Callithrix jacchus: one gene and its partners. The protein of the gene in region 2 purifies or fractionates together with the protein of the main gene of each other region. This does not show direct contact. Links are inferred from orthologs where the notes say so. Each region holds a gene or a part of one and is shown on either strand. Other genes may lie near its edges.

Region 1 (4,260 bases), on a different chromosome or scaffold from region 2:
CCTAACTTAGTACTCCAGGCAGCCACTTCCAACTATCTGAAATGGCACAGAGAAAAAGCCTTTTTATGGTACCAGGACAGCGTCTGGCTCTGTCACCAGGCTGGAGTGCAGTGGCATGATCTCGGCTCACTGCAACCTCCGCCTCCTGGGTTCGAGTGATTCTCCTGCCTCAGCTTTCTGAGTAGCTGGGATTACAGGTGCATGCCACCACACCTGGCTAGGATGTTTACTTTTTTTTTTTGAAATCTGTTCAACAAAGCTACAAATTGTTAGCGGTTCCTTCCCATTCTAAAAAGCTTTCAGATGAAGGTCATTAGAAATGAGAAGAGCTTTCCCAAGGCCCGACTGGGGCAGTGGGTTGCAGAAACACTTACTTGTGTACCTCTTATCTTGGTACGTGGCTCCTGTCCAGTCAGCAACCTATGAAGAACAACAGGGAAAGACCGAGAACGCACAGGTCAACCAGGCAAGTTTCTGCAGACCCAGCAACCCCTGAAAGCGAGAAGACTGGAAGAGCCTCAGAATTTGCTTGCAACTCTTTTGTAAGAGCCCAGCTCTCCTATGACTACACCCAGAGATGATAACCGTTCTCAGCTGGCAACCCTGTACGAAATACAGGAGTTAAGCTTTCGAGACAATACCATCTAAACAGGGACTTGAGAGTAGCAGCTACAGCTGCAAAGATTCAGACTCCGGCAAGTACCTTTCCTAGCCGATCGCCTTTGCTGAATGGCTGGTAGGGCATATCCCGAAACTGCTCGGGAACCGCACAGGGACCCCAGCCTGAGGGGTTGTCCTGGATCACGGGTGTCATGAACTTTGCCATCTTCCAAAACCTTAAAAATAGAAATGATGTGAGTAGCTGCATGAACGAAGGCCTAGAGTCCAAAAAGCCCTCCATATGAAGTGAGCAAAGACATAAATGATAGAATTCAAAAAGCAACACGCAAAATGGAACCCTTGACTATTGAGCCACTACTACTGTTTTCTTGTAAATGATACTTAAAACTGAGAAGAATGCAAACAAAGCTGATTTACCGTATTTCACTAATTCCAGGGCACTCTTTTTACTGTAACATCTTTAAAATGAGGCTGCACCCGTGCTTGACAGGGTGTCGTACTAATTGGTAGTTTTTCTTTTTTTGTGTTATGTAATAAAAGCATTTAAAGAAATTCAGTTGTGTCACAGATTTGGTACAATGTACTAACTTTTTTTCAAATATAATAACCTTGTTTTGGTTCTCAGACACACTTTCACCAACTCATACAAACTCAACTTCTCTCAGCCTTACTACTCTTTTTCTTTTCTTTTTTGTAGTGGAGTCTTGCTCTGTTGCCCAGGCTGGAGTGCAGTGGCGTGATCTTGGCTCAGCGCAACCTCCAGACTCCTGGGTTCAAGCGATTCTCCTGCCTCAGCCTTCAGAGTAGCTGTGATTACAGGCATGTGTCACCATGCCCGGCTATTTTTTGTTTTTGGTAGAGACGGGGTTTCACCATGTTGTCTGTCCAGGCTGGTCTCAAACTCCTGACCTCAAATGATCCGCCTGCCTCGGCCTCCCAAAGTGCTGGAATCTCTAGCCTGGCCAACATGGTGACACCCGTCTCTACTAAAAATACAAAAATTAGTCAGGCATGGTGGCATGGACTTGTAATCCCAGCGACTCAGGAGGCTGAGGCAGGAGAATCACTTGAACCCAGCAGGCAGAGGTTGCAGTGAGCCAAGATCACGGCATTGCACTCCAGCCTGGGCAACAGAGCAAGACTCCATTTCAAAGTAAACAAATATTTTTTGGAGGTTGGAGAGACTGAGGCTTCCTTCAGAGAGGACATTTGGGTGACAGTAACACAGAATGAACCCAGAAGCTTCATCGTCCTAATAGGAACTATAGGAAGAGGACAGAAGAAAAGGATGGTGGTCTTGAGACACTTCATTTTAAATATTACAAACCCCTACGTGTCAGGCACTATGCCAGATACTTTAACAACATTAACACCCCCCACTCCCACTTTAGAGACAAAAATTTGAAGCTCAGCCTAGTCAAGCAGCTGACCTCACCATTTCAAAACAGATTTGATTTCCTGGGTTGCCTGTTACCAGTACAGCTTTCTTTTCATTATATTACAGCTGGGCAGCCCAGTATCCTGTCTTTTATAGCTTTTTTTTTTTTTGTTTTTTAAAGGAGAGCAGAACGGAACCAGTAGTAGAGCCACTCAGTTAAAACGACAGCTGTATTGGTCACAGGGGCAGGGTAGGGAGGCACCAAGAGGGCAGTCAGAAGGGGCTCGGTGGCTGGCAGGCCACTACACCTCGTACGCCGTCAATCGCTGAACCGAGGGTGGGGAGGTTTAAGATCAGAGAGCAAATCTACTCTTCCATCCTAGCCTCCCGTTTCATAAAAAAGGGAAGGTAACTTCCTCAGAACAGGGACCAAACACCGCTCAGCCCGGCACCCCTAGGACCCCACTGAAAAACTCGGGAGTCTATGGCCAAGAAATACCTTGTGACCCAAATGGGTCACAATCAAAACCCAGCCCATGGGCACTGAGCAGAGCCTAGGGCCAGGGACCTCATCCACTACTGTCCCGCGTCCAGTAGTGTGCGGAACCTGGGGCCCCCGAAGGTGGATTCCTGTCCCGCCCAGTGGAGGGACCACAGCCGCAGGAAGGGACTAAGAGAGGTCTCTTCCGGGAGGCCCCCGAAGGCTGGGCCTAGTCGGAGCCGCCTTCAGAGGTCCGCAGGAACCTATGAAACACGCCGCTCACCTGCAACGGCCTCGGCCGGCCGGGATGGCAACAGATGGTGCGGGCCGGGCACCGCGTTTGCAGCAGCTCCCCGAAAAACCCGGAAAAGAGAAAACATGCGCGCGCAGCAGGCGCTGCCGTAAACACAACCAACGCTGTCGTAAACTGCACCCCTCCCCCCTCCCCGCTTCCTCTGGGTTGGGCGGAAGAACTCACGAGCCGTAAAGCGAGGTTCGCCCGGAAATCCGTTAATGAGCTTTGCGAGGTGTACTCAATAGCTTACTAAGCGTCCGGACGCCAGAGGTGTGATTGCTATTACGTCAGGCGGTATCCCGGGTAGCTCAAAGAGGGTGGCGACCGCGCAATCGAAGCTAGAGGCGGGGAGCGGCTGGCGCCCCTCTGTGTCCTACAGTGCTTCGCGGCACGCCTCGGTCTCCACGTATCTCACAGTCACCCGCGACTCCCCACCTGCTGTATCCGCGTGCTTAGTGTGCTTCTCAGCTCAGGGGGCGGTCGGTCGGGGTTTTAGGCTCAGAGGTGCCAAGTGACCTGACTAGATCACACTGCTAGTTTAGAGTTCTAGCCGCCAGAGTTCAAACCATACTTCCACGGTTCTCAAACTTAATTGTTGGGCAGAGATTTCTGATACACTGTTTTTATTTATTTGTTTAAGACAGCTTTGTTCTCCAGACTGGAATGGAATGGGAGGATCACGGCTCATTGCACCCTCGACTTCCCAGGCACGAGCGATCCTCCCAGCTCAGCCTCCGGAGTAGCTGGGTCAACGCAGGCACGCACCACCACGCCTGCCTGATTTTTGTGTTTTTGGTAGAGATGGGGTTTTACCATGCTGCTCAGGTTTGTCTCAAACTCCTGAGCTCAAGCAGTGTATCCACCTGGGCCTCCCAAAGGGCTAGGATTACAGGCATGGACCATCGTACCCGGCCAGCTAATTATTTTTAAAAATTTTGGGCTGGGCGTGATGGGTCACGCCTGTAATCCCAGCACTTTGGGAGGCCGAGACGAGGATCACCTGAGGTCAGGATTTCGAGACCAGCCTGGCCAACATGGTGAAACTCTTAACTAGCCGGGTGTGGTGGCGCATGCCTCTAATCCCAGCTAATCGGAGGCTGAGACAGGAGAATCGCTTCAACCCGGGAAGCCGAGGTTGCAGTGAACCGAGATCGCCCCACTGCACTCCAGCTTGAGCAACAAAGAGCAACACTCCGTCTCCAAAAGAAAAAAAAAAATTGTTTTTTGTAGAGACAGGGTCTCACTCTGTTGCCTGGGCTGGTTTCTAACTCCTGGTCTCAAGTGATCCTCTTGTCTCAGTGTCCGGAGCAGCTGAGACTACAGGTGCATGCCACCATACCTGGCTAATATTTTTTCCCCCGGAGATTCTCTCTGTCATCCAGGCTGGAGTGCAGTGGCACGATCTCAGCTCACTGCAACATCCGCTTCCCAGGTGCTAGCAATTCTCCTGCCTCAACCTCCCGAGTAGCTGGGATTGCCGGTGCT
Region 2 (3,600 bases):
AAGTCTAATCCAATCTTTCCTCTTTCCATCATATCCACCAGACGTCCTGGAGTGGCTACTAACAAGTGGCATCCACGTTCCAAGTCTCGAATCTGCTGTCCAATATCAGCACCACCATAAACCACGCAAGGACGAACTCTAGATCGGTATGAAAACTGTAAGCAAAAAAATGTTATGAACTTCAAAGTCAAAATTTTTACACTATCATTTTTACATGATCATAAAACATTTAATTAGAATCAATGAAAAAGCTAGTAACCACTGAAACTCATACTTACTTTTCTGGCTTCCTCGTAGATCTGTACTGCCAACTCTCTCGTTGGTGCTAATACCAAGGAGATTGGGTATTGTTTGCGGCGCCCATACCTTCCATTTTCCTAAGAAATGAGTTAATTTTTAGGTTAACTCCACCTATACTTTTGTAATTTACAGATTACACTTGAAAACTGTTTTTCATTAGACTGAAGTTCTACAATAATTTCCCATTTTATAAAGAAATGTCTACCTTCATGGCCCTCAAAGCCTCGCCTGGACCATCTGAATAAATCTGACTCAAGATGGGCAAGAGAAATGCTGCAGTTTTTCCAGACCCTGTTCAAAAACAAACAAAACAAACCCTGCTCATTACTTTTGAACAGACATTGGTAGATGAGTGTCCCCTGGCCCTTTTTTGAGATGGAGTCTTGCTCTATCGCCCAGACTGGATGGAGTGCGGTGGTGCGATCTTATTAGCTCACTACAACCTCCACCTCCCAGGTTCAAACAATTTTCCTGCCTCAGCCTCTCACCATCATGCCCGCGTAATTTTTGTATTTTCAGTAAAGACAGGGTTTCACCATGTTGGCCAAGCTGGTGTTGAACTCCTGACCTTGTGATTCACCAGCCTCAGCCTCCGAAGTGCTGGGATTACTAGCATAAGCCACTGTGCCCTGCCCATGACAGTGTTTAACTGCCTTATTACTAGTAATTAGGACTTTTAGTTTATGCTCAAATTAAGTTTTCCAAAAAGTGGCTTCTTTGGTCCATCTATAAGACAAGTCAGCAAACAGACTATTTTTGTAAATAAAGCTCTTAAGGAATACAGCCATATCCAATAATTTACGTATCATCTATGGCTTCTTTCACACTCCAATAGCAGTGCTTGAGCAGTTACAAAACCACATGGCCCATAAAAACCAAAATATTTTATTATCTAGTCCTTTATAGAACAAATATGATAATGTTTACTCTTATCGGCTGAGCTTACCTGTTTGGGCACAAGCCATCAAGTCTCTTTTCTCTTTGATAATAGGAATAGCATGCTTTTGCACTGGAGTTGGGCGAGTGTAACGAGTAAGCTCAATGTTTCCCATGATAATTTCTCCCATCTCAACATCACTGAACTGTTAAGAAATTCAATGGGGTTAGAAATGCTATCTAGAGCCATTTTTTGTTTTATGATAATAGAAATAACCAACTAACAGCTAATTTGTAACTCAGTTTATAGTTGCTTTAAGTAAAATTATCATATTATACTTTGAGAAAAATGAATCCCCAGGCTTTACACTGGAGAAGACTGTGGGTTCTTCCTGTGTTTGACCCATTTTCTATTTCAGGTAATAAATTATTTCTAACGGTGACACTGAACTCACTCCTTTTCCACAAACCTATGAAGCCTTTGGTCTACATATGACTTTATGAAGCCCATCTCACATTCTAATGTACCATGAAAACATTTACATCTCCCCGTGTCTTAAAAAGTCAAGCAAAAATACTTACACTTTCAATATGGGGAGGACAGTTGTTGCCTGTTGCCTCAACTGGAATGTCATCGTATTTCTCAAAATTAATCCCAGTGTTGCCTCCAGAAAAGAGTTCCCTCAAATCAAAAGATTGGTAAATTCATTTGTTATACTAGCTAATAAAGCTTCATCACAAGTAACATACATTTCAAAAACTTACTGTTCCAAGCGTTCACTTGGTGGGAGTGGTTTTGACCAATCATCTTCATCTGATTTGTCACACCAGCGACTGTTTCCACCACGTTCAAATTTGCCAAAGCCACTTCTGTCACCACGGCTGCCAATGCCATCATAATCACTCCGTCCACGATCATCAAATCTGAACAGCACAAGTGAATAATCAGAATCACATCATTTAACCATTATCAGATTTCTACCCCTGCTCTAGAACTGTATCTGGAGACTTAAGTTATGGCTAACTACAAAGATGTCAACAAGCCAATTCTGAGTTATTTGACAAATAAGGGTCTCTAACCAATACCATTTACTGATATTTCTAAAATCATTTCTAAAATTAGTAACCTTTATATCTCTATAAAGTTGTATAGCCTAAAAGGTCTCATAGATGCCACAATTAAGAATCAACGACGTTTTTGGGTTAATTCCTTCACTTCACAGGTTAAAAAAAAAAAAAAAAAGGATCAAGGTTTTATCTGAAATGGGCACACAGCTCACAACCTTCATTTAAAGTGCTCATTCAAATATATTTAGTGGTGGGGAAAAGAAAATAATACACCAAATATCAATCATCCTAGTTATACTAAAGGACAATTCACCTGTGTGACAGATTTTGGATAAAAGGTAGAAAATAATCCTTACTTGAACTAAGATGTTTTTAGAATTTTAGGCCTGTTTGCGAAAAATCAGGACACAGGACTAACCACAGCTATTAGGCACGTGGGGTCAGTTCACCATACTTGCATAATAAAAAAATCCAAGGTGTTTAAAATTGTTATAGAGTCCACAAAAATCCCAACCAAATTAGGCCATTCACTAGATGTACTAAGTAGAACATATAAAACTCGAGAAATAAAAAAAAAAAAAAATTGATTACACATTATGCCAATGACCATATTCCAATTTTCATCTAATTCAACTTAACAGGTTCAATGTAGCAAAAGCCTCTCACATCCAAATAGGTGGTCAGAATAAGAACTTATTAAACTGTTACTCTACACACCTATAAGGTGAGAAGAAATCACTTACCTTCCCCTTGATCCACTTCCACGATCACTGAAGAAGCTAGACTTCCCTCTTGAATCACTGCGAGATCCAAAACTGCTATATGCATCCTTATCTTTGCTAGAACTCCACCCTGAACTGTCTTTATCGTAGAAACCTTCAATTAAAAAAACACAAATCCATTTTATTAATGAGAAATAGGAACCATGTTAAGGTATTATCAATCTTTCTGAATTTGAAGGCCTCCACTGACTATCTTATCTCTGTGGGCTTGAGGTTCAATCTCAAGGTATTCCTACCATGGCACTGTAAGAGAACCAAGATTTAGAGCTGGTTTTCTTGTCACCAAGATAATGTTTTTAATTACTGTCCACTGGCCAGGCAGTGGCTCACACCTGTTAATTCCAGCACTTTGGGAGGCTGAGGTGGGTGGATCACCTGAGGTCGGGAGTTTGAGACCAGCCTGACCAACAAGGAGAAACCCCATCTCTACTAAAAATACTAAATTAGGCAGGCGTGGTGGTGCATGCCTATAATCCCAGCTACTCGGGAAGCTGAGTCAGGAGAATTGCTTGAACCCGGGAGGTAGAGGTCATGGTGCACAGAGATTGCACCACTGCACTCCAGCCTGGGCAAA
Region 3 (4,044 bases), on a different chromosome or scaffold from region 2:
GGTTTAACAAAAGCAGTATTCAGAGCCGGATGCGGTGGCTCACACCTGTAATCCCATCACTTTGGGAGGCTGAGGCAGGTGGATCATGACGTCAAGTGTTAGAGACCAGCCTGGCCAGCATGGCAAAACCCTATCTTTACTAAAGATACCAAAAAAAAAAAAAAAATTAGCCAGGTATGGTAGCACACGCCTGTAATCCCAGCTACTCAGGAGGGTGGGCTCAACGAGAATCACCTCAACCAGGAAGGCAGAAGTTGCAGTGAGCAGAAACCACGCCGCTGCACTCCAGCCTGGGTGACACAGCGAGACTTCGTCTCAAAAAGGAAAAAAAACAACATTCAGAAAGTAGAGGAAAAGATGACTCGCTGAGAGAGACTCACTGTTCTGGGTCTGGCCGTAAGAAGAACCATAGCTGCCCTGGCCATAGCCTGAAGTATCTGTGGACTGGCCGTAACCGCTGTAACTCTGCTGTCCATAGGGCTGACTGCTCTGCTGGGAATAGCCCTGTCCCGGCTGGGTGGGGTAGGCCCCATAGCTGGAAAAAAGTAAAACCAGCGTGATCAGAAAAAGAGGCCTTGACCACCGTCGGCCTCTACAAACTTTGGAAACGCAAAAATAGCACTCACCTTTGGGTTGCTTGTTGAGTATAATCTGCAAAAGAAAAATACAATCACATTATCTTCAGCCAACACTCTGAAAGAGTTGAATTAAAGCTAAATTCCTTAACTCAAGCACTGATGGGTAAACAGGACCACGTTGGCCAGGCAAGGTTGTTCACACCTGTAATTCCAGCACTTTAGGAGGCCGAGGTGGGTAGATCACTTGAGGTGAGGAGTTCAAGACCAGCCTAACCAACATGGTGAAATCCGTAAAAATACAAAAAATTAGCCAAGCATGGTGGCGGACGTCTGTAATCCCAGACTGAGGAAGCTGAAGCAGGAGACGCATATGAACCTGGGAGGCAGAGGTTGCAGGGAGCTGAGATCACGCCATTGCACTCCAGCCTGGGCAACAGGGCGAGACTCTCTCAAAAGAAAAAAATTGGACCATGTTGCAAAAAAGGTCATACAATTCCCCCATGAGACAAGAGCAAGCTGGCATATCAGCCAAGTGTTCTCATAATAAAAGAAAACAGAAGAAAATGCAAGTTTCTACAGAGTCCCAAAAGCCTTAACCATTGGGAAAACCAAGGTCTCGGTGGACAGCCACTTTCTGCAAGCCCAATTCATGTCAGTGACTGTTGCCCTAAAACACTGCACAGTACTTCCATCCATTCTATAAAAAAGGCCTTATCCCCAGGAGTCAAAATAGACTAACTTGCCCGAAGTCGCAGAACTACCAACCGGCACAGGTTTGAATTCAAGCAGTGTTCAGACTGTGGCCTCCGTTCTCTCAACCCAGACCCACAGAACGAGAATGTCTCAAAAAAGGCCATTCTTCATTGTGACCAACCCCGGAGATTAAGTGGGCTTTTTAGTGAAGTCACAGGATCCAAAGCCCTCGGAATCAAAAAGATCATCCAAGTGCTCGCTTTAGGAGGCGAAAGTCGACTGATACTCGATTCCCCAGTCCTGTCGCTCCAGATGGTTCGTTTTCTCACCTAACCTGCCTTCCCGCTCCGGGGGACCAAAAAGCAGCAAAAGCGGTTCTGAAACGCCCCACTGAAGATACACGAACAAGATCAACTCATCCACCTAGTACGGGAAACGCGGCGCTTCCCCCGCAGGAAAAGGGAAAGGCCCAGGAGAGGGAGTGGCCTCCGATGGAGATTATTCTCCTTCCCCACCTCAGAAGCAAGAAATTTAGGCCGGACGCGGTGGCTCACGGCTGTAATCTCAGCACTTTGGGAGGTCGAGGAGGGCGGATCACCTGAGGTCAGGCGTTCGAAATCAGCCTGATCAACATGGTGAAACCCCGTCTCCACACACACACACACACACAAAATTCAAAAATTAGCCAGACGCCTGCCAGCTACTCAGGAAGCTGAGGCAGAAGAATCACTTGAACCCAGGAGGAGGTTGCAGTGTGAACCGAGATCGTACCACTGCACTCCAGCCTGGGCAAGAGAGAGACCCTGTCTAAAAAAAAAAATTAGGCGGGAAAAACTCTCCAGCCGGGTCACCGATACAATACGTTGGTCCCGACCACCACCTCCAAACCGTTAAGCGGGAGCGCGGCCGCGATCCCGAGCCTCCGCCCCCGCCGCGTGGCAACCGAGGCGGGAACGGAGCAGTCCCGCCCCTTCCCGAAGGACCCCAGAGGAACAAGGCGTACACCGGACGCGCGCCGCCGAGTCCTCCGCGAAGGGTCTCGCGACAAAAAGCTGAGCCAACACGAGACGGGGAAGGGGTATCAGCGCCACGAGGGGGGGAGGGGCCCGCAGAGCGCGTGCGCGCCGCTAGTGCCCGGATGCAGCACTGCGACAAAGCGGGCCCGAGCGCGGGCCGGGAGTGGGGGTAGGCGAGGCCACGGAGACCAGGCGTTTCCACCCTCACCTCACGCTTCAAACCACCAAGAAGCGTCCCTCCCCACGCCCACCTCAAACAAACGGACTGGGAAGAGAAGACTTCCCGCCCAGCGCGCTAGGCGCCAGAGGAGCGAAACAAAATGGCGACACCAACCTCCCCCAGTCACCCCTCTCCGCGGCTTCCCGCCACAGGGATGCGAGAGAATCCCACACGCGATCGCCGCCCCGGTCCCACAGAAAATGAAAAGCCCAACTAGGAGGACTCGGCTCGGAGCGCCGCCGCCGCCGCCTCGCGCCCTTACCTACCGTTTGATGCCATGTCCGCGCACGCGCGCACAGGCAAGCAAGCAAGGAAATTCCAACTCTACACAACACCGACGCCTCGAGGACTGAGCAGCCCCGCCTCCTGCGTCGAAGCTTAAGTCTGCCCTGCCGCCTACGCACCGCGCAGGCGCACACCAAATGCGGAAGCGCATGGGGGAGGCAGGAATGCACTCCCCCCACTTCCTAGGGTACGTAGAGGATCCGAGCAGGTAGAAGGGAAATAAGTTAACTAAAAACATGTGAATACTATACATAATCATACTTTCTGGAGAAAGAACCTCTCTCTCCTCTACAGGATTAGCCCATGCTCTAAGTCCACCCCCATGAAGGCACAGTGGTACGGCCTGAGTGCCCGCTGGGGGCGGGGCGAGGGGCCCGGACAGTTAGGGATCGAACTGGAGTCACAGTCGGGAGTCGCGGGGTGGAATCGTGACTACTGTGGCCGGTCCCCTTTGCTGGGCCCCGCTTTCACCCAGGATGACGAGTTCCTGCCCTCCGCCGCCTTGCCACTGTGTGGGGCGCCTCGTCCTCCCGACCCCAGCCTCCCTCCTCCAGCAGCACACACTGAGCCTCCCTCTCCCTTGGGCCCTGGTGTTGACTTAGTCGTCTTTCGGGGTTGCCTGGCCTTTCGGCCTTTCTGGGGTTGGCGCATTGTGACGTTTGACCTGAAAGACAGCAGGTCATTTTGGCCTGGACCCCTGGGTGCCGGGCTGGTCCAGCACTGGGCTCGCGGGAGCCGCCGGGCGGGACCGCCCAGGCCATCTTTGGGACCTGAGAGGGTTGACCTCAGATGAAGGATCCGCAGCCTTTTCTCAGGGACCTCCTTTATATTTTTCTGAAACCCTACCAAGGAACCAGTGGCGATCCCAGAAATAAAATGTGCACAAGGCTTAGGTGGTTTCAAAATGCACAGATAATTTATTTCTCACCACAGACTTAGGAAGGAAGTAACGATATCTCCGTTTTCTGGATAAGAAAAGTGAGATTCAAAGACCCAAGTAATTGTACCTGATTACAGGGCAGCTAAGAGGAGTCGTGATTCGAATTCAGGTCTCGTGACTGCAAAACACTCCTCTTTTTGGTGACCTGAATGCTAGTGTTTGGTCGCCCTTTCACTTCCTGTGAAAGCAAAAGCAAAAAGAAAACTTCAAAGTAACGTGCAACTTGAACTTTCATCAGCATTGCCTGGAGAAGGCAATTTGAAACTTGAACAAAACAAGACAAAGGACGTTAATTCCTTTTTTTTTTTTCTG

What was found. The genes of interacting proteins can lie anywhere in the genome.
Region 1: the proteins of DDX3X (region 2) and EIF3D fractionate together in Homo sapiens (co-fractionation; 3 studies listed by BioGRID and IntAct, with this or other methods). This does not show direct contact. The link is inferred for Callithrix jacchus from reciprocal best matches to the Homo sapiens genes DDX3X and EIF3D.
Region 3: the proteins of DDX3X (region 2) and FUS purify together in Homo sapiens (affinity purification with mass spectrometry; 3 studies listed by BioGRID and IntAct, with this or other methods). This does not show direct contact. The link is inferred for Callithrix jacchus from reciprocal best matches to the Homo sapiens genes DDX3X and FUS.

Annotation. Positions count from the first base shown.
Region 1 is NC_133502.1:207,478,208-207,482,467, forward strand, and holds the start of EIF3D (eukaryotic translation initiation factor 3 subunit D), read right to left. Parts: upstream 2,859-4,260; 5' UTR 2,764-2,858; intron 837-2,763; 5' UTR 827-836; coding exon 704-826; intron 421-703; coding exon 375-420; intron 1-374. UniProt on the Homo sapiens protein: mRNA cap-binding component of the eukaryotic translation initiation factor 3 (eIF-3) complex, a complex required for several steps in the initiation of protein synthesis of a specialized repertoire of mRNAs.
Region 2 is NC_133524.1:42,180,058-42,183,657, reverse strand, and holds part of DDX3X (ATP-dependent RNA helicase DDX3X), read right to left. Parts: intron 3,121-3,600; coding exon 2,988-3,120; intron 2,101-2,987; coding exon 1,942-2,100; intron 1,859-1,941; coding exon 1,759-1,858; intron 1,383-1,758; coding exon 1,247-1,382; intron 592-1,246; coding exon 506-591; intron 378-505; coding exon 279-377; intron 156-278; coding exon 1-155. UniProt on the Homo sapiens protein: Multifunctional ATP-dependent RNA helicase. The ATPase activity can be stimulated by various ribo-and deoxynucleic acids indicative for a relaxed substrate specificity.
Region 3 is NC_133513.1:30,693,899-30,697,942, reverse strand, and holds the start of FUS (RNA-binding protein FUS), read right to left. Parts: upstream 2,859-4,044; 5' UTR 2,787-2,858; coding exon 2,774-2,786; intron 652-2,773; coding exon 627-651; intron 536-626; coding exon 381-535; intron 1-380. UniProt on the Homo sapiens protein: DNA/RNA-binding protein that plays a role in various cellular processes such as transcription regulation, RNA splicing, RNA transport, DNA repair and damage response. Binds to ssRNA containing the consensus sequence 5'-AGGUAA-3'.